Rhinolophus ferrumequinum: one gene and its partners. The protein of the gene in region 2 interacts with the protein of the main gene of each other region in a biochemical or structural test. Links are inferred from orthologs where the notes say so. Each region holds a gene or a part of one and is shown on either strand. Other genes may lie near its edges.

Evidence for each region.
Region 1: the proteins of MYOG (region 2) and SRF form a complex in vitro, tested with the Homo sapiens proteins (2 studies listed by BioGRID and IntAct). The link is inferred for Rhinolophus ferrumequinum from reciprocal best matches to the Homo sapiens genes MYOG and SRF.
Region 3: the proteins of MYOG (region 2) and CSRP3 form a complex in vitro, tested with the Homo sapiens proteins (2 studies listed by BioGRID and IntAct, with this or other methods). The link is inferred for Rhinolophus ferrumequinum from reciprocal best matches to the Homo sapiens genes MYOG and CSRP3.

What each region holds. Positions count from the first base shown.
Region 1 is NC_046286.1:12,581,979-12,589,580, reverse strand, and holds the start of SRF (serum response factor), read right to left. Parts: upstream 3,031-7,602; 5' UTR 2,693-3,030; coding exon 2,168-2,692; intron 582-2,167; coding exon 315-581; intron 1-314. UniProt on the Homo sapiens protein: SRF is a transcription factor that binds to the serum response element (SRE), a short sequence of dyad symmetry located 300 bp to the 5' of the site of transcription initiation of some genes (such as FOS).
Region 2 is NC_046310.1:75,058-82,782, reverse strand, and holds MYOG (myogenin), read right to left. Parts: upstream 3,093-7,725; coding exon 2,544-3,092; intron 1,879-2,543; coding exon 1,797-1,878; intron 1,247-1,796; coding exon 1,125-1,246; 3' UTR 534-1,124; downstream 1-533. Other genes in the region: PPFIA4 (liprin-alpha-4), read left to right, coding at 3,760-3,815. UniProt on the Homo sapiens protein: Acts as a transcriptional activator that promotes transcription of muscle-specific target genes and plays a role in muscle differentiation, cell cycle exit and muscle atrophy.
Region 3 is NC_046294.1:35,019,468-35,026,665, reverse strand, and holds the start of CSRP3 (cysteine and glycine-rich protein 3), read right to left. Parts: upstream 3,006-7,198; 5' UTR 2,889-3,005; intron 1-2,888. UniProt on the Homo sapiens protein: Positive regulator of myogenesis. Acts as a cofactor for myogenic bHLH transcription factors such as MYOD1, and probably MYOG and MYF6.

The DNA of each region.
Region 1 (7,602 bases), on a different chromosome or scaffold from region 2:
GGGAGACAGCTGGCGGGAGGAATGCAAGGGCCCTGCCAGGCAGGCGGGCTGCAGGCGGGAGGCCGGCGTGGAGCCGGAGCCGGCCTTATATGGGCACGGAGGCCGCCCGCTTATCTAGGGGGCCAGCCTCCTGTCAGGATAGCGAGGATGGACACCTGTCCCCTAGGATGAGGGGTACTAACCGGGCTCCACTCCACATCAGTGGGCACTTAGCACCTGTCCTTGGTGAGGGAGAGAGAGAGAGACCCCCCTCCCCTTCCCTCTGCCAGTCCAGTCCCTCCCCTTCCTTCCCCTGATAGGGGACGCAAACACACCTTGGTCTCCCCACTGCTGTCGGACTCCGACACCTGGTAGGTGAGGTCTGTCTCTTCAAAGCCCGTGGCACTCATTCTCTGGTCTGTGGTGGGGTCTGAGCGGGGTGGAGAGTCTGGCGAGTTGAGGCAGGTCTGAATCAGGGCCTTGCCAGTCTCACTGGTGATCATGGGCTGCAGTTTGCGGGTGGCAAAGGTATACACATGGCCTGTCTCACTGGCCACCAGCAACAGCACCTGTGTCCCTGTCAGCGTGGACAGCTCATAGGCCTGGGGGTAGGGGGAGGAGACGGGTAGGTCAGCAAAACTCTTCACCTCTACCTTCCTTGGGAAATAGGAGAGGAAATACACAGTGATTTCAAGCCCCCACTCCCATAAGACCGTCCTCTCCAGTGATTCTAAGGGGGTCCTATCAGGATATCTGAAAGTGAGATGGAAAGCAGAAAAACCCCATGTTTTGGAGCAGCTCCTGCAGATACCGCAAGCAAACAATCACAGCCCCCTGGTGACATCTAACCTCAGGAGACACAGAGACCCAGGTAGCTGCTTCTCACTACAACTTGGTGCCCTCACAGACAGATGGTTTCCACCCCCTCCTCACTGTCAGCGGGACCAGTATGAACTCACTCCTATACCGGAAATCATATAAGACATTAGGGATAAGGGGCCACCCAAGCTCTAAAATGCCCCGTTTCTTCCCATAAACTGCATAGGTGCTAACCTGTTGCCATTTTGTCCTTCTGCCCTATCATAGTATGCTACCCTTTTTTTTTCTTCCTTTGTCTTGATACAACAATGTCTGCAGTGATGGGAGATGGGGGCTAGATTTGCAGCTACTGCCCTGCCATGAACTCAGGAAGGGGACCCCATAGATGGCATCCTCATTCCCAACAAAGTTCCACAACCCACCTTGGAAGCAGCTCTGATTTCTGTATGGGACAGATAAACACCAGCCAATGTTCCCAGGGTTCTAGCTTCTTGTTTCCCAGTTCCTTTGCTTCCATGCCTTCCCACATCTTATACACCCTAAGACAACTCTTTTCCTCACCCCTTTCCACTGGATAATCGGCTATATAAGAGGAGGATACCTCTACATACCTCAGCAAACTCCCTGCCTTCCCACGAAACTCCATGCACCAATTCTCCCTAGGGCTGGAAATGCCACTTGTCCGAAAGACAGATGATTCTGAAGCCTGTCCTGCAGGGAGTGTGCGGGCTTCCAGGGGATGCATGGAAGATGCATGGCCATAGCAGGACTTGGTTTGGTACCTGCTGCTCAGGGCACCATCAGTTATCCTGCCCTGCTCCCTTACCTGGGGCTCTTGAGCCCCATTCCGTCATCAGCCCTCCTGTCCTTCCAGCCAGCACTACTTCAGTAGTGCCCACCTTCCTCCCACACATGCTCGCTCATTGTTGTTATACTGCTCCAGCCTCCTCACCTCCATACCTTTTCTTCTGCTACCAGCTTTTCCAGCGCCCTTCCCAGAACACCAGAGCCCACTGGACCTACTGACCGAGGGGTTTCGTTAAGCACCCCCGGGGCAGCCTCGCAGTCTCATTACCTTTCCTCACCCCTTCACACTCTGCAAGGGCTCTGTTCCTCTCTCGGCCCCGTCACTCCCACCTTGGCGCCTTTACCCTCTTTTCCGGACGTTAGCAGCATCTCCCCTCTCCCCACATTTCCCTGGCGGCCCCTCCCCTTTCACCCTACCCGGGTAACAGTCATCCCCTCCCACACACCTCCTGCGGACTCGCCGCCTCTCACCTCCGCTTCGGCTCTGCCTTCCTCTCCAGTTCCCCCTGCGAGTCCCCACCCTCCCGGTACCCCACGGTCCGCCAGACTCCCGGTCCGGTACCTTCTTCATGATGCCCGTCTTCCTCTTGCTGAAGGTCGTGTAGCGCCGCAGCTTGTTGTCGATGAACTCCATCTTGATCTTCACGCGGCCGCGAGTCTTCTTACCCGGCTTGGCCCCGCTCACCGCGCCGCTCACCGGCCCATAGCCCCCGGTGGCTGCTGCCGCCGCCTCGGGCCCACTGACCACCATGCCGATCTCCATGTCGCCCAGGCTTCGCTTCAGGCCGCGCCGCTCCGCGCCCAGCTCCTCCTCCTCGCCCGACTCCGAGTCGCCCTCGCTGCCGCTGTAGAGGGCCCCCGCGGTGGGCGCCGGGGTGGTTGTCGCTGCTACTGCAGCCTCCCGCTCGAAGCGACCGGGCCCGAGCCCCGCGCCGTTCCCGGGGACCCGGCCCCCGTTAGCCCCGCGAGTCCCGCCGCCGCCACCGCCACCACCAGCGGGCCGCCCCGTCGGGGTCCGATTCAGGCTGCCCCCCAAGGCCGAGCCCCGGCCCAGCGCCGCCGCGGCCCCAGCTTGGCTCGGTAACATGGCGCTCAATGCAGGAGGGCGGACGGGCAGTCAGCGAGGAATCGGAGCCGCCGCCGCCGCCGCCATCGGCTTCCCGGCTCAACCCGGCGCTCCCGCTGCTGCTAGTGCCGCTATCGCTGCCGCCGCCGCCGCTGCGAACCCGGGGCCCCTGCACGCCCCGGCCGACCTGGGCCCTCACTTTCCTGCCCCTGTGGCCCGGGTTGCCCCAGGCTGCGCGGAGCGCCCCCTGTCCGTATGCTACGGCGGCGCGCCCGGCGGCCGTCAGCGTCCCCCCGGGGGCAGAGGCTGCTGGCCGCGGCGGGGACGGCGGGTGGAGGGGGCCGGGACCACGCGCAGGCGGCGAGGGATCCCCCGACCCTTCCCCCCATATAAAGAGATACAATGTTTCCTTTTATGGCGAGGCCGCTCCTTATATGGTGAGCCCCTGCGTTCCCGCCCCATTGGTCCGCTGTTCCGGCAACTCCGCTCCCTATTGGCCCATAGGGGGCGCCTATTTGCATAGACATACCGAACTCGTTGCAGTCATCCCGCGTCAGCGGGCGACTCCGAAAGGGGAGGAGCCGACGCCTCTTAAAGGAACAGGAGAGGAGGTACGACTCCGCCCCCCTACCAGAGAGAATTGGGAGGGACCTGCGGAGAGGAAGCCTAGGAGGAGACTGGAGCGCAATCTTGCGGAGAAGAGGGAGCCGCACTGGGAACTGGGCTTTGGAAGGGCTGGAAGCAAACACTGGGGTAGTTCCTGAGTGGAATGTGCGGACGGCAGTAAATGATATAATACAGCCCAAATTCCAAAGGAGTGCGGGGATTGGAGCACTCACCCACTCCTTCCTGAGGGAGGCAAAGTTACTCGCGGAAGTAGCGGGGGCTTGGGTCCCTGATGTCCAGACTCGTCGCGCCCCCGCCACTCGGCTGCAACCCTTCCCCTCCCCCCCGACTTCCTTTCCCTTTCCCTCTCTTTTAAAGGCGACACTTTCCCACCAGGCCGGCTCCCCGGTCCTCATTCATCATCCTCTATACTGGGTAGGTCTCTGGCAGACGTACATCTGGAAAAGACCGGAGAGACAGTCGGCCTCCGCGTCCCAGTTGGGGGAAGGGAGAAGAGCTGGAGATCAGTGAAGACTTCCAGCTGCGCGCTGGGCTGGGGGAGGGGGTGGTTCCAGGGAGAAAGCCCACCCTTCAGTCGGTGCAAAGGCCTGGGAAAAAGTGTAGCCGAGGAGAAAGTTTAAGCAAGCAAACGCAAACATGCGCGCGCGCGCCCTTCTCTGGAAAGCCAAGGAAAGCCCACAGGATAAAAAAAACTAGGGTGCCGAAAAGGCCAGGTTCAGGGTCTAGGTCTGGATCTGAGCTCCAAGTCTGTGAAAATAGCTTGGGCTGTGCTCTTACAGAAATTATTCAAATCTGGAATCTGCTTCTTCCTAGCCCTGTGCTGGAAATAAGTGTTGAGCTCTCCAAACGCCATGTTCCTCATTGTTGGTACCTATCCCACGGGATTCTTAAGGCAGATTAAATGAGATACAGACTAAAGCGCGGAGTATGTAAGTGGTCAGTGAATAGTTAATAGGAGCTACCTGGGACAATCACCTCATTCATGGGATAAACAAACTCTGGTGTTTAATAGGATGGGAGAGGGTAATGATTCCTACCTTAAAAATTGTTGGGAAGATGAAGTGGTAGTGAAATCAATTTAGTGTACTGCAACCGGCATTTAAAATAAATTAATGGGTATCACAAAAAGCAAGCGTAAATATTGTTGCATAAAAATTGTTTGAATTATTTCCAGGTAAACGATATAAAACTTCCATTTTATAGGTAAAAAGGGTGGGTTAGTGTAAATTTCACATGGTTCTACATATTTGTGTACTGGATGGCAATGTCAACTGCCTATCTTACTGTGAGTCACAATCCAAAGACTGAGAAATACTGAAATAAAGTATGTTCAAGTGATTTGTGATATGTGTGTGTATATAATATATATATATATATAATATACACACCTATATTAAAAAATGGGCTTATTCATCAAAATACAGGAATTAAGAGCCTTCCTCTTCCCCATTTTCCAACAGTTTTAAAGAGTTTTTTTCTTTTCCTAATTTAGTCCACACAACAGGTAGTTAAACATATGGAATGTGTTAGCCCAAGAGAAAGGACAGGTCAAATAGATAAATAGGTTCCAGAAGGGCTTCGGGGGCCACAGTTGGTACTTGGGACCGTGATTTGTCTGAGCAGCACAGTCTTACAACCACAGCCCTGGGGTCCATTCCTGCCTGGCTTCTAAAGACTTTTATGTGTGAGACCCCTAGCTTAAAGGCCCCCTCAGCAGTGGCACCCCAGGGGACAACTGCTGCCTGCTGCATCTACAGGGTAGAGAACAGTTCTCAGCTTCCCTTCAAATAGGCTGCTCTCTCTCTGATTTCACCCAACCCTTGGGCCATTGCACACCAGTGTTAGTGCCACAGCACCTTCACCTGCTTGGGATGGCATCATCTTCACAGCTCTTTGTCACCACTGGGGAGTAGGGGTGGGGAGGGGACCTATACCCACACTATATTGGATTACTGTGGTTCCAGAGCCGAAACTGTTGGATGTGGATGAAGTCAAAATCAGACACTGGTTCATCGATGTGTTTTGTTTGGACCGTATAATATCTTTAAATCAGATTTTACATAAAAATCTGAATATCCAGTCTCTCTCAAAAAATTGGAATTTTTAGCCACTCCAGGCCTATGTACCCACAGAACGACAGCCTAGCGCTGAGGTGAATGGTGGCCATAGAAGAGGCATCTGCTCTCAAGTTCACTAGATTCCCTACAGCCCATTGAGCTCAGATAAGTCCCCTGCCTGGCCTCTCTGGAATGTGAGTTTGGTGCTTCTCAGATAAGGCCTAAATCACAGTCGTCCCCTGGAAGATGGGAGCTCACATCCACCCCAGATCATGCACTACCTCCAGAAGGGCAGCGGAATTCCAGCCAGATCCCACCCTGACCTTCATTTCCTTCTCCTGATTGTTATCACCTAAATAATATCGCAACAAAAACTATGGATTGCTTTTAAAAATGACTATAAAGAAATTACCAACACTCTAAAACTATTTTCATTTGTAGTTAACCTTTATGCAGTTATTCTTAACTTGACATAGAAGAGCTCTCGACTGTGATAGCAGCATTACAGGGAATGGAAAGGAAAAGGGGTCATGAACAATTGTCATCCCAATAAACTTTTTAAAAAAAAGAGAAAAGGGGTCATGCATCAGTGTGCCTAGGAAAAATCTGGAAAGCCATGCTCTGAACACTAATAGTGGTAAGCAGCCACTGGAGAGGAGTTTGGGGACTAGAGGAGTGTGTTCTTTGCTTAGATAGAAATCTGTACCATTTGACTTCTTCCATAATCAGTATTACTTTCATACATTTTTTGACTCTTAAAGCAAAGCTATAAACAGGGCAGAGGTCCAATACATGGGTCTTGGTGACGGACTGGATGGGGAGCGGGATCCACAGAGAAGACTCATGATGGACTGAGATTTTGAGTAAGGGTGACTATCCTCCAAACACTGGTACCATTCCTGGAAAGAGGGAACTTGGCTAGAGGAACAGGTTTGAGAGAGAGAGAGAAATTCAATTTGGGCCTACGGCAACAAACAGAGGAAAATGTCCTGTAGGAAATGGGGAGTGTGTGTCTGGAGCTTGAGGCGGAGGCTGGAACTGCAGCTAATACTTTGGGAAGGAACTATCCACACTACAGGGCCAATTAAAGCCACGTGAGGAGAGATGAGAGTCCTGCAGGGGAGACTGTAGAGAGAGGAAGGCCAAGGACAGAATTCAAGAGAACAACAATCTCTGGGGCACGCAGAAGAAGGAAGCCTCAGCTGGGGCTGGCCTGGTCAAAGGAGGGGAACACGGCATACATACCATCATCCAAGTCAAGAGAGGGGAGTCTGCAAAGGCAGCTGTGGCCAGCAATGTTGGCTGCTGCAGTGTGATCAAGCAAGACCACGAGTGAGAAAAGGATCAGGGATTAATGACCTAGAGCAGTGCCTCCCCAGTTCTTCCAAGTGCAACCCATGTTAAGAAATCATTGTTACATCGCAACCTGTGGTGAATTCGATTTTTGCTCCCAATTCTTCACACTCAGTGTTGGAATTAAACAGCCACACCCTTTGCCATGTGACTTTGCAGAACCTACTACTGCTGTTGCTGCGTTTTGACATGTGACATGCTTTGGCCAATAAAATGTTAACAGACTTGTGGTTTTAAATGTGCCTGTGTGATTTGCCTTGACCTCTTGTGCTGCTTCCCCCGCACGAGAGTATGCGCTGAGACCAGTAGAATAGACCCAAACTAGTCCTACAGCCTGGAGCCAACCCCAGCTGAACTCAGCGAGGTCCAGCCAAGATCAGCTGAACCTCACCAATCTGCAGATCCATGAGGGAGAAAAATAAATTGTTGTCAGTGACTGAGATTTGGGGGTTATTATGCAGGATCACCACCCCAATCGCTGACTACTATGTAACCCAGTATACACAAACATGTATCAAATGTTACCAACATTTTGTAAAAGAATACTTACCCTTAAGGTATACAATATACTCTGATAGTTTCTATCACGTTTCATGTTTTTAAAACGCTGGTTGCAACCCACAGTTTGAAAAACACTGCTCTAGAAAAATTTCTTTTTTTTTCCAGTCCAACACACCTGAAGGATGTAACACACTGTATATCAAGTAAGTGGCTCAGTTCCTTGCTGTGTGACCTTGGGGAAACTACCTGGCCTCCCTGGGCCTGCTTCCTAATCTATGAAATGAGAACAGTAACATCTGGCTAACAGAGTAGTTGTGGCGATTACATGAGATAATGAAATAATAATGAGATAATAACGCATGTTAAGTGTTTAGCAAAGTGACTTGGACAGAG
Region 2 (7,725 bases):
AGACAGTGACAGTGTCTGAGCCCACTGCCCTGCAGGGCTCCTCCTGGTAGTGTCATACGAGGAGTGGCGGGAGGCGAGGGGAAACCCCCGATTCCAGCTCCACCCTGCCCACTCGCCGAGGATGGCACGTGAGCGTGGTCGGGTCCTTGGAGGACCTGTTGGGACGTAAGACGCAGTGAGCAGGTCCGTGAGACAGAGTGCAGTGGACACTCAGCCGGCTTGCCTGTGTGTCCCACAGGGTTTCTGTGGGCAAGGCTTCCTCTGAAGGGTAGAAAGAGCAGGGGCCCAGCGCCCCACCAGTGCCAGCCCTTGGATGCCCGGCCCTGGGGAGCGTTTGGACTGGGGGGAGGACCCCCTCCCTCTACATCATCACGACACTCTTCTAGCACCCAGTCTTTATTCATTTTTTAAAAAAGGAAATCCAAATAAGTTAGCAAAAAACAAATTACAAAACAATTGCAAAACCACACGATGCTTAGTTAACAAAAGAAATCACCCCCAGACACCCCCCACCCCCACCTGTCCCTGGCAACTTCGAACAGGACACCTTGGTCAGATGGCAGCTTTACAAACAACACACAAAACAAAACAGAACATGAAAGCACGGGAAGCTTCCCAGTAGTCACTGCAGAAGCTTGGCCCCCAGGGACTTGGGAACAGGGGATTGTCCCTTTCTTCTCTCTCACTTGAGGGCAGGCCCAGCCCAGCCACTGGCATCAGGAAGAGATGGGGACAGGAGGTGTGCACAACTCGTCCAGGGCAGGACACTGACGTCGTCTCTGAGATCCTGGGGGAGTGGAGCTGGGGGCTGTGCTGTGATCAGCGCGCAGGTCCTGAGTTGGCCCCCGGCCAGGGGCGTACACGAGGGGCGCTCTGGTCCCCTGCCTTAGCTTCCTGGAAATGGGGTGCCGGTGCTCTGTGGAGTCAGCTAAGTGAGAACGTCCGTTCCCTCTCTGGGCGGAGGGTGAACCTTCTGTAGATGAGGGGGAAGGCTGGCATTTGGCAGCCCCACGGCTGGCTTCCTGGCATCAGGACAGCCGGGCTAAGGAGGCTCCTGCTGCCCACGTGGTGGCATCTGTGGCCAGCTGGGGGGCCCTCCCGGATGCCCGGCCTGGCAGACAATCTCAGTTGGGCATGGTTTCGTCTGGGAAGGCCACAGAGACGTCCTCCACCGTGATGCCATCCACAATGGAGGTGAGGGAGTGCAGGCTGTGAGCGTCTGTGGGGTCAGCTGTGAGCAGGTGGTCTGTAGGGAGAAGGTGGAGGCTGTTCCCCGGGCAGTGCAGGGGGTTCCAGGACCCAGAATGAGATGAGCAAGCGTAAGGAGCCCCACTGCCAGCCCTTGCCTTTCCCGGCCGTGTGCATAAGTACCATGCCCCCCCCCGGACACCCCTAGTGGGATTGGGACCTGCAAGCCGCTGTTCCAACTGTGTGGCAGGTGGAGGTGGGGCCAGGATGGTGTTTCCTGGGAGACGGACTGCCCTTGCAGGCCCAGCTGTGTGGCACTGACTCAGTGATTCCCAGGGAACCCTGGGGCAGGGACTGTCTCCTGCCCGTGGAGATGAGCCACCAGCCACCAGATGGGGAGCAGCAGGAGGCTGGGGCTGCTTTGGCCTGGTCCAGACTTCAGGGAGGCACAGGACCGCCCAGTCCACCATTTGGGGCCCTGGGCTCAGCAGGTCCCTGGAGAGGCCAAGGGAGGAAGACTGGAGCAGGGAACAAAGTAAGGGGACAGTTGTGCCTGGAGCCAGGCTCAAGGGTTGGAGCCAAGGTCAGCCGGGTCCCAACACACTTACCACCTGCGTTGGGGCCGAACTCCAGTGTGCTGCCCCACTCTGGACTGCAGGAGGCGCTGTGGGAGCTGCATTCACTGGGCACCTGCGAGGTGGCGAAGGCGAAGGTCAGGCCCCCTGTGCCTGGTGGTGTCTTCTGTCCAATCCCAGGGAGCTGAGACTCCTGGGCCACCCCCACCCCCACCTGGAGTCTTCACAAGCAGCTCCTTTCATGGCCCCGCCTGGCCACAGAGCCCCTGCTTCCAGGCCTGCCCTGGCCTCCGTCCTGGGTGGGGATTCTGCCCTCACTGGACACCAGCTCCAGGGGTCTGTGCTTCTGTCCCTGGGACAGGGTGGAGGGGGCAGAGTGTCTGGCCCCAGCAGAGCCTCATCTGAGCAGCTGCTGGGGCTCCAGGAGACACTGCTTCTCTCCGCTGAGCCCCACCCAGGGCGGGGCCCGGTGGGGGCAGAGCCACGCACTGCGTCCTCTGTGTGCCTGGCCTGGCCTTTGGGGCGCGTCCCCAGGCACTGGCACGAATTCTCACCTCCACCCCGGCTGGCTCTGGTCTTGCGCCTTCAGTTTTCTGCCACCCACCCCCACCACTGCCTCTCCTCCCGCTGCCTCTGTCTCCTCTGGAAAGGACACGGGGACACGGTGGGAGGTCAGCGGGACAGCCCAGTTCTGACAGTGCCTGCCTGGCACCTGCTCTCACAGCCGACCCAGCCTCCCCATGGGGTGCCCTCCCTGGGCGGGCGGTGGGAGCCACTTACCCCTGGTGGGGGCCCGCCGCCTCCCCGGTGGTAGCGCAGCTCACGCTCCTCCTGGCTGAGGGAGCTGAGCAGGGCCTGCAGGCGCTCGATGTACTGGATGGCGCCACGCAGGATCTCCACCTTGGGCAGCCGCTGGTTGGGGTTCAGGAGGGTGCTTCTCTTCAGAGCCTCAAAGGCCTCGTTCACCTTCTTGAGCCTGCGCTTCTCCCTCAGCGTGGCCGCCCGCCGCCGGTCCACGGACACCGACTTCCTCTTACACACCTTACACGCCCACGGCAGGCACTGGCCCGGGCAGTGATCCGGGGTCCCCAGACCCTTGTCTTCGAGGGGCCCTCGAGCCTCAGGGCTCAGGCTGAGCTCAGTCCGCTCATAGCACGGCGGCTCAAAGCCCTGGAGGTGGATGGGCAGGTAGTTTTCCCCGTCGTAGAAGTGGGGTTCCTGGTAGAAGTAGGGGGGTGTCTCGTACAGCTCCATGGGGTCGGAAGAGGCTTGTTCCTGCCACCAGCCCCCGAGCTCCTGCAGCCCCTCACGCCAACTGTTAGGTGCCATTTAAACCCTCCCCGCTGGCATGGAACCAGAGATAAATATAGCCAACGCCACGGAAACCCGAGCCCCTCTAAGCTGTTGCTGCACATCAAGAGTTCACAGCGGATTAGATGCAATTCCCTTCTCTCGGCCCGGCCCCCACCCCTCCTGGCCAGCCTGCCCGGGCCGGCCGGCCGGCTCCTGTGCACGGGCAGGGAGGCCGTCCGTTGTAACTTGATTAGTTTTCATTTCTCGGCAGCCCCCATGGGGCAGGGGAGGTGGGGGGAGACACACATTCTCCTCTCATCTGCTCCTTTCAATTACTCCTGGTGGGGGGCTGCCTGCTCTCTCTTTGTGGTCCCAAAGAAGCAGGGTGGGGGGCAAGGAAGGGGTGCGTTTAGGCTGCAAGGGGTCTTAGGTCAACCTGTCCGGCCCCCTGCCTCCTCACAGACTTGAACCAGACTCTGGCAGTCACATGACCCTCTGCCAAAGGGCAAGGCTGCTGCAAATGTGGGGCACGTGCGGGTCAGTGTCCAGGGGCAGGAGGGTCGACACTGGGTTTCCAACACAGCTTTGACATCGTATGTCTCTTAGGTCTCACGTGACTGGGGTTACATCGAGGCAAGAGGACATTTTTGGTCTTGTTCTTTCATGGGGGTTAGTGGCAGTTTTCTCTTTAATATGCCATCAGGGTCACGGAAGCCTACGCGTTGCCGCTGTCCCCACCGTGGCCAGGTCGAGATCTAGTCAGCCCTCTGCCACGTCCTTCGCATTCTGGATCCTCATCTGTCCTCCTATGTTGCCTCCTCGACTGTTTCCTGCCCCACCCCGATGCCAGGATTTTCCTGACTCCTCACTGTGCGTGGAGACAGAGCCCTTCAAACTCAGTAACTCTCCCCTCTTCTCGGCCACCGGGATTGGTTCTGCGTCTTCCTGTCGGAGACATCAGTTTGACACGCATCCTGCACGTCTCACACATCGGGTGGAGGAGGGACGACTTAATCTCTGGACTCCTCAGTCTGTGGTCACCTGTCAACAAAGGCCTTGGGGTCCAAGACGACTAGCGCTCTCCACGCAGTAGGCTGGCCTCAGGGACCAGCAGTGCACAAGGCTCGTCTGAGGGCCAAAAGGTGACAGGAGTGCCCAAGGCAGGGTCTCTGCCCTCCAGGACATTGCCATCTGGTAGACCTGCCAGTCATCTAGTTCTATCCAACCCCCTGCCCCAGTGGCCACTGTCCAGCTTCTGCTGACCTCATAGGGCAGCCCTTTCCATGGACGCACTGGCTGAAGGGAGGCCTTGTGGGTTTCAAAGTGCAATCTGCCTCTTCTGCCCTTTATCCTTTGGTCCCGATTTTTTTTCTAGGACCCCATGCACTAATTCTGACCCCTCCTCCGATGACAGATGAGACTGGTGCTGTCAGTGCCAAAGAGTGGCAAGGATAAGAGAGGAAGAGGAGCTGCGCAGGGGAGATGTCACAGGGGAGCTGAGGTCTGAAGGGAGCGAGAAGGGCCCGGCTTTCCTTCTTCTCATTGTCTATGGGGAGGAGCCAGGAAAATGCTGGTCCTTTTAGGGTGGGGGGGAGGAGACACAGCTGGACACTAAACGTGCTGAGGGGGGCAGTGAGGTCTTCATTTGGCCTCATGAGTGTGATAAAAACCACAGCTCACAACACGGGAGCTGTGGGTTCTAAAGCTTGGTTGGACCCTGATCATCTGGACTTAAGATCCCCCCCAAAAAAGACAAGAGAGAAAGAAAAGTTTGCCTCAGTTTACACCCTAATCCTGTGAGCCCTGAGATAAAAGTGATGTTGAAGTTACTATGGGAACCCAGAAATTGCATCGTTTTGTTCTTTGGGGACCCAATCTGCCTTACCTCCAAACGGCATGTCCACATCCTCTAGAAGTGGGGGCAGGAGAACCAGGCTTGTTCCATGAGGATTTTCAGGATCTTATCAGCTAGATGGCGAGCCTGGACGCAAACGTGAACATTAAGTCACCATTCTACAGAGAGTCATTCGAAGTCAGCAGCAAACATGGGAGTTGTGATCAGCTGCAAATGAGTGGGTTCATCAGACAGGTGTGTCAGGGGCTTGTGGAGAGTCAGACGCTCTGGAGGTCGGGCTGTGCAGAAGGTGCACTGGGCTGGATCCAGGGAAGCCTGGGGCCTGGACGAGAGGGGGAGCAAGGGGAAGGGGGCATTGGGTCCCAGGTATGTAGGGATTCAGGGCTCAGGATGAGCCTGCAAAGACAGGAGGAGGCCTGTGGGCCATGGGGGGACGTGACAGCTGAGGCAAGGAGGCCACACAGAGGACCATGGCTGCATTTCCAGAGCCAGACGCTGAGTCTGAACCTACTTGGGCAGCAGGAGGGTTATACCAGGAGAGGACACGCATTTCAGCTGGCAAAGGGGTGGTATGGTGGTGTGGGGGGTGTGAGGTGTGTGGTGTGAGGTGTGTGGTCTGTGTGGTGTATGGTATGAGGTGTGCAAGGTATGTGAGGTATATGGTGTAAAGTGTGGTTTGTGTGGTGTGAGGTGTGAAGTGTGGTGTGGTGTGAGGTGTGTAGTGTGTGGTATAAGGTGTGGTGTGAGGTGTGTGAGGTGTGAGGTGTGGTATGTGGTGTGGTGTGAGGTGTGGTGTGTGGTGTGAGGTGTGGTATGGTGTGTGGTGTGAGGTGTGGTGTGAAGTGTGAGGTGTGTGAGGTGTGAGGTGTGTGGTGTGAGGTGTGGTGTGGTGTGAGGTGTGGTGTGGTGTGGTGTGTGGTGTGAAGTGTGGTGTGGTGTGTGGTGTCAGGTTGTGGTGTGAAGTGTGTGGTTGTGGTGTGAGGTGTGGTGTGTGTTGTGGTGTGTGGTGTAAGGTATGAGGTGTGGTGTGAGGTGTGAGGTGTAGTGTGAGGTGCGAGGTGTGGTGTGAGGTGTGTGGTGTGTATGGTCTGTGTGTCGATTCATTCCCTCTTTTACCCTAGAAGCATGTATTGCTATGAGCATGGCTGCGGGTTGGTGTCCTGAGTAAGGTGTGCTCTTCCGTGTGCAGTGCTGGCTGTGAGCAGGGAAGATGCACAGGGCGGCTCCCCCAGGTGCTGGAAGAGGAGGCGGGGAGGGCACTGGTGTGCCCCAGGGACACCACCATCCCCGGAGCCCTCTGCAGGCCCTGGGCCCCCACCAGCCTGGGCACAGCCCCTGCCTCAGCTCAGGTGAGCGAGGCCTTCTGTCTGTGTGACCTTTGTCTCTGACCAAACAAGATTGTGGGCTGGAGGTGAGGGTGACCTTGTGTGTCGGGGTTTCAGTGAAACCTTGTCTGGCCAAGTGTTTGTTTCCATCTGTCTGAGTAAGTGACTTGGGGACCATGTCAAGGTCTAGCTCTGGGGCACAGGCCCTCCCAGGACTGAGGAGATAGGGCAGCCCAGGTGTCTCTGACCTCAAAACCCTGATGTGGGGATGTCCCTTCAGCCACTTTGTTCCTCTCTCCGAGCCGAGCTGTGGAGAAGCGGCACCTGGGGGCCTGGCTCTGGTCCCCGTGCACACTGCACCCCCCACAGGCTGCCGTCTGATGGATGGGGACACATTGGTGCCGCACAGAGCGGCCTTTGTGCTCCCAGCAGCGGCGATCCATCAGCTCTAACCTGACAGCAGGGCGTCAAGTCCTAATCCCCACCCCACTGGCCTGGCACACGGCCGGCCCCTGAAGCCGCCCCGGCCGTCCTGCTCCCTCCGATGGAGGCCCCCCCACCGCTGGGGCCCCTGGCCGCGCGCCCCCAGCCCGTGTGCGCAGGCCGCTCTCACGGGCACGCGGTCCTCCCAGTGCCGGGCCCACACCTGCGCCCCGCTCCCCCTGCTCCCTCCGTGCACACACACCCTCTGACTCCCTGCACCTTTCGCCCCGCTGACCTCACAGCGGGGCTGACCTGGGCTGCCAGGTGCCGGCGCTCACCGCAAAGCGTTTCGCATCCCAAAGCGAAGGGGCCGAGCGGGCGGGAGCCTCGGGCCCCTCCGCGCCCCACGGCCACTCCGCGGGGCTGCGCTCCGGCTGCAGCGTGTGCGTCCCCGCGCCCCGCGCGTCAACATGGCCGACAGCAGCGGTCCCGGGGCGGCGGGCGCCGTGCAGCCCGGGGAGAACTGGCCGCAGAGCCAGCCGGGCGGGACGGCAGCCCGAGGGTCAGCTGGCCCACGTCTTCTTGGGAAACTGAGGCCCAGACCAGGGAAGTGACGAGGCCCGGGCGGCGGGGCCCTAGTGCCGGAGCCTGAGGGCGTTGGCTCGCGGTCGCCGGAGCGCAGGCCTCAGGCTGAGTCCCGCCGCCTCCTGGGCCTCGCGCGCGGCCGGCGGTGAAGGAGGTCCTGCAGGTGAGCACGTGCTCGGCAGGTGGGCCGCAGGTGACATCGGAGAAGTAGTAACGGGGACGTGAAGGTGGAGGGTGAGAGGCAGCCGGCTGGGGTGGCGCGAGCCTGAGGCCCTGAGGGCCGGGGGTCGGCCGGGCGGCGCGGGGCGGGGGGGCCGGGCCTCGGGAGACCCCACGTTGTTCGCATGGAGGACAGAGCAGCCGATAGGCCCCGCAGGTGCGCGTCCGGGCCGCTGGGACTCTGGAGCTCAGAGCCAGGCTCGGGCCGGGGCCTGGGGAAGGTGCGGCCTGGAGGCGAGAAGGAAGGGCCCCTTGGGGCGTG
Region 3 (7,198 bases), on a different chromosome or scaffold from region 2:
TTGCTTATTCTCAGCACAGAAATAAACCCAAGTGTTGGCTCTCATCCCTTTAAAACTTAGACACGGTAGGCACGTCTGCCCATTACACTAGGGCTGTCACATGCAGGTCATATTACATCTTTTCTTAAGTTATCTCTGAAGTGTGGCTGACTTTTACTCTCAGAAACTCACTGTGTTCTATTTCGCCCTTTGTAATTTGTGTTTAAAGATCACATTGCACCCAGGGTTACAACCTGACTCTGTCACTTTCTAGCCATGTGTGTGACCCTTAACAATTATTTTGTTTCCTTGACCTTTTGTTTCTTCCTCGAAGAATGACTTCTAGCATGGCTCATTGTGACAGTTAGATAAGCTAATATTGTTTCCTGCCTTCACAGGTCAGTAAACAACCAACAGATCATGATTAACCCTTTCCCATGATGTGGTTCTTATTCAGGCTCAGAGTAGGTTTCCAGCCTCCGCGGCCCTCGAGACAATCATTGTCTTCCTTCCTGCTTTTCTTTGCTGCAATGAATAACTACAGTTTTTCACATTTGAAGGCATCGCATTTCTCTCTGTCCGTGAAGCCCCACCCTGGATACGGTATTCGCAGACATCTGAGCAGCGTGCTTGTAATTGGAAGTCTGCCTGCCGCAGGAGTTGTATTTCTGTGTATTATATTCCTAGTCTGGATCCTTCCTCTTGTAAAACAAATTAATCATGTAACACCCGATTGGCTTGTTATTCACTCTGACCTCTGGACTTTTATCGTCACCACCCTCATACTTAGCAAGAAATCCTCCTGCAGTCTGTCAGGTTTGGTCCTGTGCCTTTTCCCAAAGGCCTTGCATATTTGTACAGTTTTATTAAGCTTTACGAAGTACTTTCCTACACTTTATCTCATTTGATTCTAAAAAATCCCTTTGTGATAGATGGCATTACCTTAATTTTAATGCTCAGAAAATGGAAACTCAGAGAAGTTAAGTGATGGTCAGAGTGAGAATTTGAATTGCCTCTATGACTGATGCTTTTTATTTTCTTCTATCTCTTTCTTCAGGTTCCCAGGATTTCTGAATTTGTATTCTACCAAGAATCTGTATCTACTTTTGCCAATAGGATTGTGGCTACTGATTTGCCTGTTGAATGATCCTGCTTACTCTTCCTCAGTCTTTCTCTCTGTTTCTCTTTCCATCCTGCCCCCTGGCCTGCCTACCCTTTCTCTAATGGATGGCCTGTGCATGCGGGCTGTAGATCACCTGTCTGCCTGGGCGGGAGAGGACACAGAGCCCTGGGGGTCGGGGGCACTCCCTGCCAGTAGCCAGGGCTCATTTTAAGGACCGGGTGGTTCAGAATGGAACCAAAGCCAAGCAAGAAGAATCCCTTACATTTTCTGGGTCATTAAGCAGCGATTAATTGGACGTACCCAACATTGAGATTCAGCCCCCAAAATAATATCCTGAGGACACAGGCTATTTCTATTTCCCCCCCTTCCTGCTGTTCATGCCCATTCTCCTCTGCGTTGTGTTAGGGCTGCCTGGGCCTCCCCAGCCCAGACACAGGAGATGGTCAATGCAAGCTCACTGAATTTCATTGCATTGTACTGCAGAGAAACAAGCTTTCTCCCAACTGGTTCATCTATCTTCTGCTTCTTGGGTGAATCACTGTCCCAACTCAGGGATGGGAACAGAAATTAGAGGCGGTAGCTTTGATCTTTGGACAGCATCTCCGCTCAGACCACCCCTTAAAACCACTTCTCAATTCTCAGTCACACTCATGCCTGTCATTCACTGGGATGTTTAAAAAAAAAAAAAAAAATCCTGGACTAAAATCTAGAGGAAATACTGGGAATCACCCCCTCATCCCCAGCTGGGAATTACCCTCCCACTAAACAGAGCTTTTAATGGATTTTCAACATACCATGTTTCCCAGAAAATAAGACCTAGCCAGACAATCAGCTCTAATGAATCTTTTGGAGCAAAAATTAATATAAGACCTGGTCTTATTTTACTATAAGACCCGGTATAATATAATATAATATAATATAATATAATATAATATAATATAATATAATATAATATAATATAATATAATATGTAATATAATGTAATGTAATATAATATAATACCGGATCTTACATTAATTTTTGCTCCAAAAGACGCATTTGAGCTGATTGTCTGGCTAGGTCTTATTTTCGGGGAAACACGGTAGCAATGTCTTTTTCAGATCCTGTTTTGATTAATTTAAATTATTAATGCAAGCCTGTTGCTGAACATCCTTGGGATATAAAATTCACTTTAAACTAACAAACTTGAATGAGTATTTCCTATGTGCAAGACAGTGTATGGTGAACTGTAAAAATGTCAGTCATTCACTCATAACTTTGGAATAGCATAGACTCCTTGTATTTTGAGCACTGGAAAGCTGGAGTCTGCTGTATTGTCTCTATTTGCCACTTTGTAACTATGCAGTACTTTATAGTTTAGAAAAATGTTACCACATCCATATTGATCCTTGCAAAAAAGACTAAGAACATGAGGGCAAGAACTTTCTCAAAGTCACACATCCATTCATTATGTAATTCTAGGTTGAGAATGCAGGTCTTTTGACTCAAACAACAGGAAACATTCCACCATGAAAATAGTTTTAGACCAAAAATAATCCTGTACTCATTTCTCTGTGAGGTTCCCTCAAACCCCCAAATGTCAATCACCCTTTTAGGAGTTTTCGAAACAACTGCTAAGCCTACATCAGAATCCGGCATAACTTGAGTCTCCTCACATAGAACCAGAATGGAGGATGGCATGTGGGATGTGACACGCACCCTTACTCTATGGGACCTTTCATAGTACCAACCAGCCACCAAGCCAGCAGCCCACCCACAGCCCAAACACCTGCTTCGCTCCGCTTACCTGCCTGGGTGGTCTCTGTCAGCTCAACTGAGTGAAAAGGGGGACTCTCCTCCTCTTTAAATATATGGAGGCCGTCACCAGCCTTGGCCTGTGGAGGAAAGGGCGGGAGGGAGGCTGAGGGGAGAGGGGGAATGAGACACGAGAAACACAACTGCTATCAGAGGCTGAAAATAGCCTGTGACCAAAGCCCTGAGTTTTGTTCCACCCCCCCCCACCCGCACCCCCACGCCAGCTGTGAGGCCCTTGGAGAACAAAATTGCTTGGGTTCTGTTTTAATTGCCAATCACCCATGGCAACAAGGGATCAATTTGTGGCGGGTAAATTTCTGACCAAGTGGTTGGCACAGGAACAAGAACAAAGAATTTTGTGTCTAAAATCATTTTTCCAGGCTGCTCCTCCCCTGACCTTTCTGGAAATCAACGTGAGGTACCTGAAAATGAATCATGAGCCCTATCTGGGAGCCCTCTGGAACTCCAAGCCACAGGTCAGTACACTCGTGAAGAGAACTCAGAGCTAAAAATAAGAGTGATGGGTGTCCGAAACGATACTTAGATAATCTCTTCAAAGAAGCTTGGGGAGAAAGGTCAGCTGATCATCAGGGTCCTGTCACTCCACAGCCTGCCATCTTATGAAGAACAGTTTTCTCTCAAAAGTTTTGAGTTACTTTGCTCATCATCTGTCTCCACTTAAGAATTTAACATAACAATGCATTGTATGTATGGCAAGTCTTGATAAGTCTCTGTGAACTCACATTGTCTTTGGAGGTCTAATTTCTCTTTGCCTGGTCTGTACATATTTTTGGCTTTGATCAAGCATCAAGGACTCATGAATTAGAGAATTTGATAGTTGACAAGAAGTTCGGAGATTTAATAGACTAATTCTTGTTAGTCTTTATGTTGTGGCTGATCTAACCGAGGCAGCTAACTTGTTCAAGGCCAGACAATAAGTCATTGGCAGATTCCACATTGAAATTTAGCCACATTGCAATTCAGGTCATTTGTCTCTCAGGTGAAGGTGCTTTCCACTAGGGTTGACCTGAACGCTGAGGTTGGGTGTAGGAAATACCTACATGAGGGGGATATAAAATCCAGCCTTGCAAATCAGCCGTATTAGCCCTTTAGTTACACGCACACAGGAAACAGTAAAAGAGTTGAGAAATGGAATATTTCACTATAAAGGAGATCATGGTAATTTCACAAATATAGACACAGCCCAACCTCCTATGAGATATCCTTGGCCTATGCGTTGCAAAAATGTATTATTGCAAAGGAAAATAGTGAATACTCTAGAATGTTAAATTTAGAAGGGACTTTAGAAGTCTCCTAGGATAGCAGCTTTCAAATTTCATGTTTTTTTTTTTTTAAAAATGATAATACTTTTTTCTATAGATATTAAATGGAACATCAATATATAAAGCAGATAAAAGGATTTCCATGCTTGAAATAAACAGGGGGTCTAGTAGTCACTCACATAGCCTTTGCCTGAACCCACAAAGTGGCTTCTAAAATACTTTTTAGGAACAAAATTTTAAAGTCATAAGTATGGCCCACCACTTTTATTTTATACATACAGATATTAAGGTCCACAGAAGAGATTTATTTGCTCAAGGGGAGATGCAATGTATACAACAGAATTATTTCTGGAGCCAGAAATCTGGGTTTGACTGATGTGTCTGACACTTAAAAAATGTTTTCTAGTTACACAAGTAACACAGGAATGCACTTTTACTGTGAAAGACTAAACAATAATGATGTATTTAAGGTAAAATGTACAAGTGCCCTCCCACAATCCTACTCTCCTTTCCAGAGTTAATAACTGACAATATTTTCGGTTTTACTAACTTGAGTCATCTTTTAAAAGGGGATTTTAGTTCATTCACATTTATTGTGATTTTGGATACATATGGACTTATTCCTTTCATCTTATTTTATGTTTTATTTTTATAACGGTTCTTTTTTCTTTTCTGGCCTTCTAATAATAGTTTACTTTGTGCTGTGTTTTTCTCTTATGAGTTAGAGAAGATTCTCTTCCTCTAGTTTATAAACTAATGCCACAATGAATATATGTTTTTATTAACATATAGATTTAATTGGTAGCCATTTTCTGTTTTCTTCCGTGAAATGAGAAACTTACAGAACCTCAGCACACTTTCACCATCATCACGTTGCCCTCTTCCTTCACCTTGACCTTGTAATTACACACCTGCCCACCACCCCCCATGTGTGGATCATCTGGGATTTTAGTTCCAGGTTGTAATTAGGTTTGCTCATTATGCATCTGTAGTTATTTAAACCTAATTATAAAGTTGACTGCTTTCTTCATTCAATTACTATTTCTTGTATGATTTTTGTATCTTACATTTTTAAGTGAGAGAGAGAAAGAGAGAGAATGGATTCTTAATGAATTAATTGAAAGAGTCTGCTGGAAATGAACAAAAATCTCACACCATTGGAAAGGTCTTCCTATTAATTTGCTAGACTGCCATAACAAACACCGTACACTGGGTGGCTTAAACAACAGAGATTTATTTTCGCACACTTTCGGAGGCTAGAAGTCCAAGACCCAAGTATCAGCAGGGCTGGTTTCTTCTGGGGCCTCTCTCTTTGGCTTGTAGATGTCCATGTTCTCCACACGCTTTCGTAAGGTCTTCCTCCTCTGGTATCTGTGTCCTAATCTCTTCTTCTAAGGACACTGGTCATGATGGATTATGGCCCATTCACATGACCTTATTTTGCTTTTAAAGGAACTGTCTTTACATACAGTCACATTGTGAGTTACTGGGGTTTAGGACTTCAGTATATGAATATGGGGGAAACACAATTCAGCCCATGACAGTTTTAATTTTGCCTAACACTTGAATGCTACTTCAACCGTCTCTAGAGTTGTACTGTCCAATATAGGAGCCAGGAGTCACATACAGTTATTTATAGTGAAATTATTTAAAATTAATGAAAATTAAAAATTCAGTTCCTTAGTCATAGCAGCCATATTCCAAATGCCCACACTTGGCTAGTGCCTGCGCACTGAACAGCATAGATATAGCATGTTTCCATTCTTACAGAAGTTCTCCTAGGACTGCTTTAGAGCTTTTTCCTCTGAAAAATGAAGCAAGTCCATTTTGGATTCTATGACGAACAGATAATATTAAGCATGTGTTGGATGCATAACAGGGTGCTCAGTCGATATCAGCTGAATGTTGACTCAGCTGTAAATAAATGACAGTATTAGAACTGGAACCCACCCTTTCTGTCCCATCGTTCCCCCAGAAGAACCATCAGTGAGTAAACTATTGATAAATATAGGGCATAAAGAAGCTCAGAAAAGAGAGGGAAGTGGGACAATGAGGGTAATCTTAAATCCATGCCTTAAAACACTACTTTTATACCCCAAATCAGAATAAACATTATTCTATTTAATCCTCATAAAAACTTGGTAAAGAAGGTATTATTTTACCCATTGTCCGAATGAGGAATGAAATAAATGCAACTCAGGAAGGCTAAGTAACCCCTCCCAGGCCACACAGTTGAGTCAACAATGAGTCAATGTCAATGTCAGAACTGGAATCCACTGCTTTCTCCTCTTCATGCCTCTAGAATAACTAAAAACTGGTAAGTCATTGGGAAACACAGATCACTCAGGTGACAGAGAAATTTAAACCAGATCAGACTCCAAACCCCTTCTACAACAGTGGTTCCCAAAATTGTTTGACCGTTAGTAAACATCTTTGAGCAATATACACATATACATACATAGGTATATATGTGTATTTTTAAAATAAATTATAAAAATTACTGTAATATTATACATTATGAAACATACGCAAGACTATATGCTACAAATATAAAAGTAAATATAATAAAAGTTCCAATTCATTTTCTCATTCTCCAGTATTGTTTCACATGCTTCCTCAGGCGCTGGTCCCCCTTCCACTTTGGAAATCAGTGCTATAAACGATGCCATACAAAGGGGGAATATGCCATAGAAGAACTCACAGGCCTGGGAATCTCAGCTTCCATCTGCTCATCCAAACCTCTCTGAAAAGAAGCATGACTGGACCTTAATGTATTCAATATCACTCACATTCTTAGAGTAACCAGGGCTTTTCACTATGTCTATGCACCCGTGGTCTGACATTTGCCCTTGGCTCTTATTTCAAAGAGAGAATTAATTTAAAACTATCACTCAGAGGTTGCTCCTGGTCATGTGTCTCATGCATGAAAGGCAGAGAAATGGGCAAATGCAATGCTTAAATGCATCAAGATGCTTCTTTTTCCTCGAGAGATAAAAACAAACATTGTCATCTTTACTGA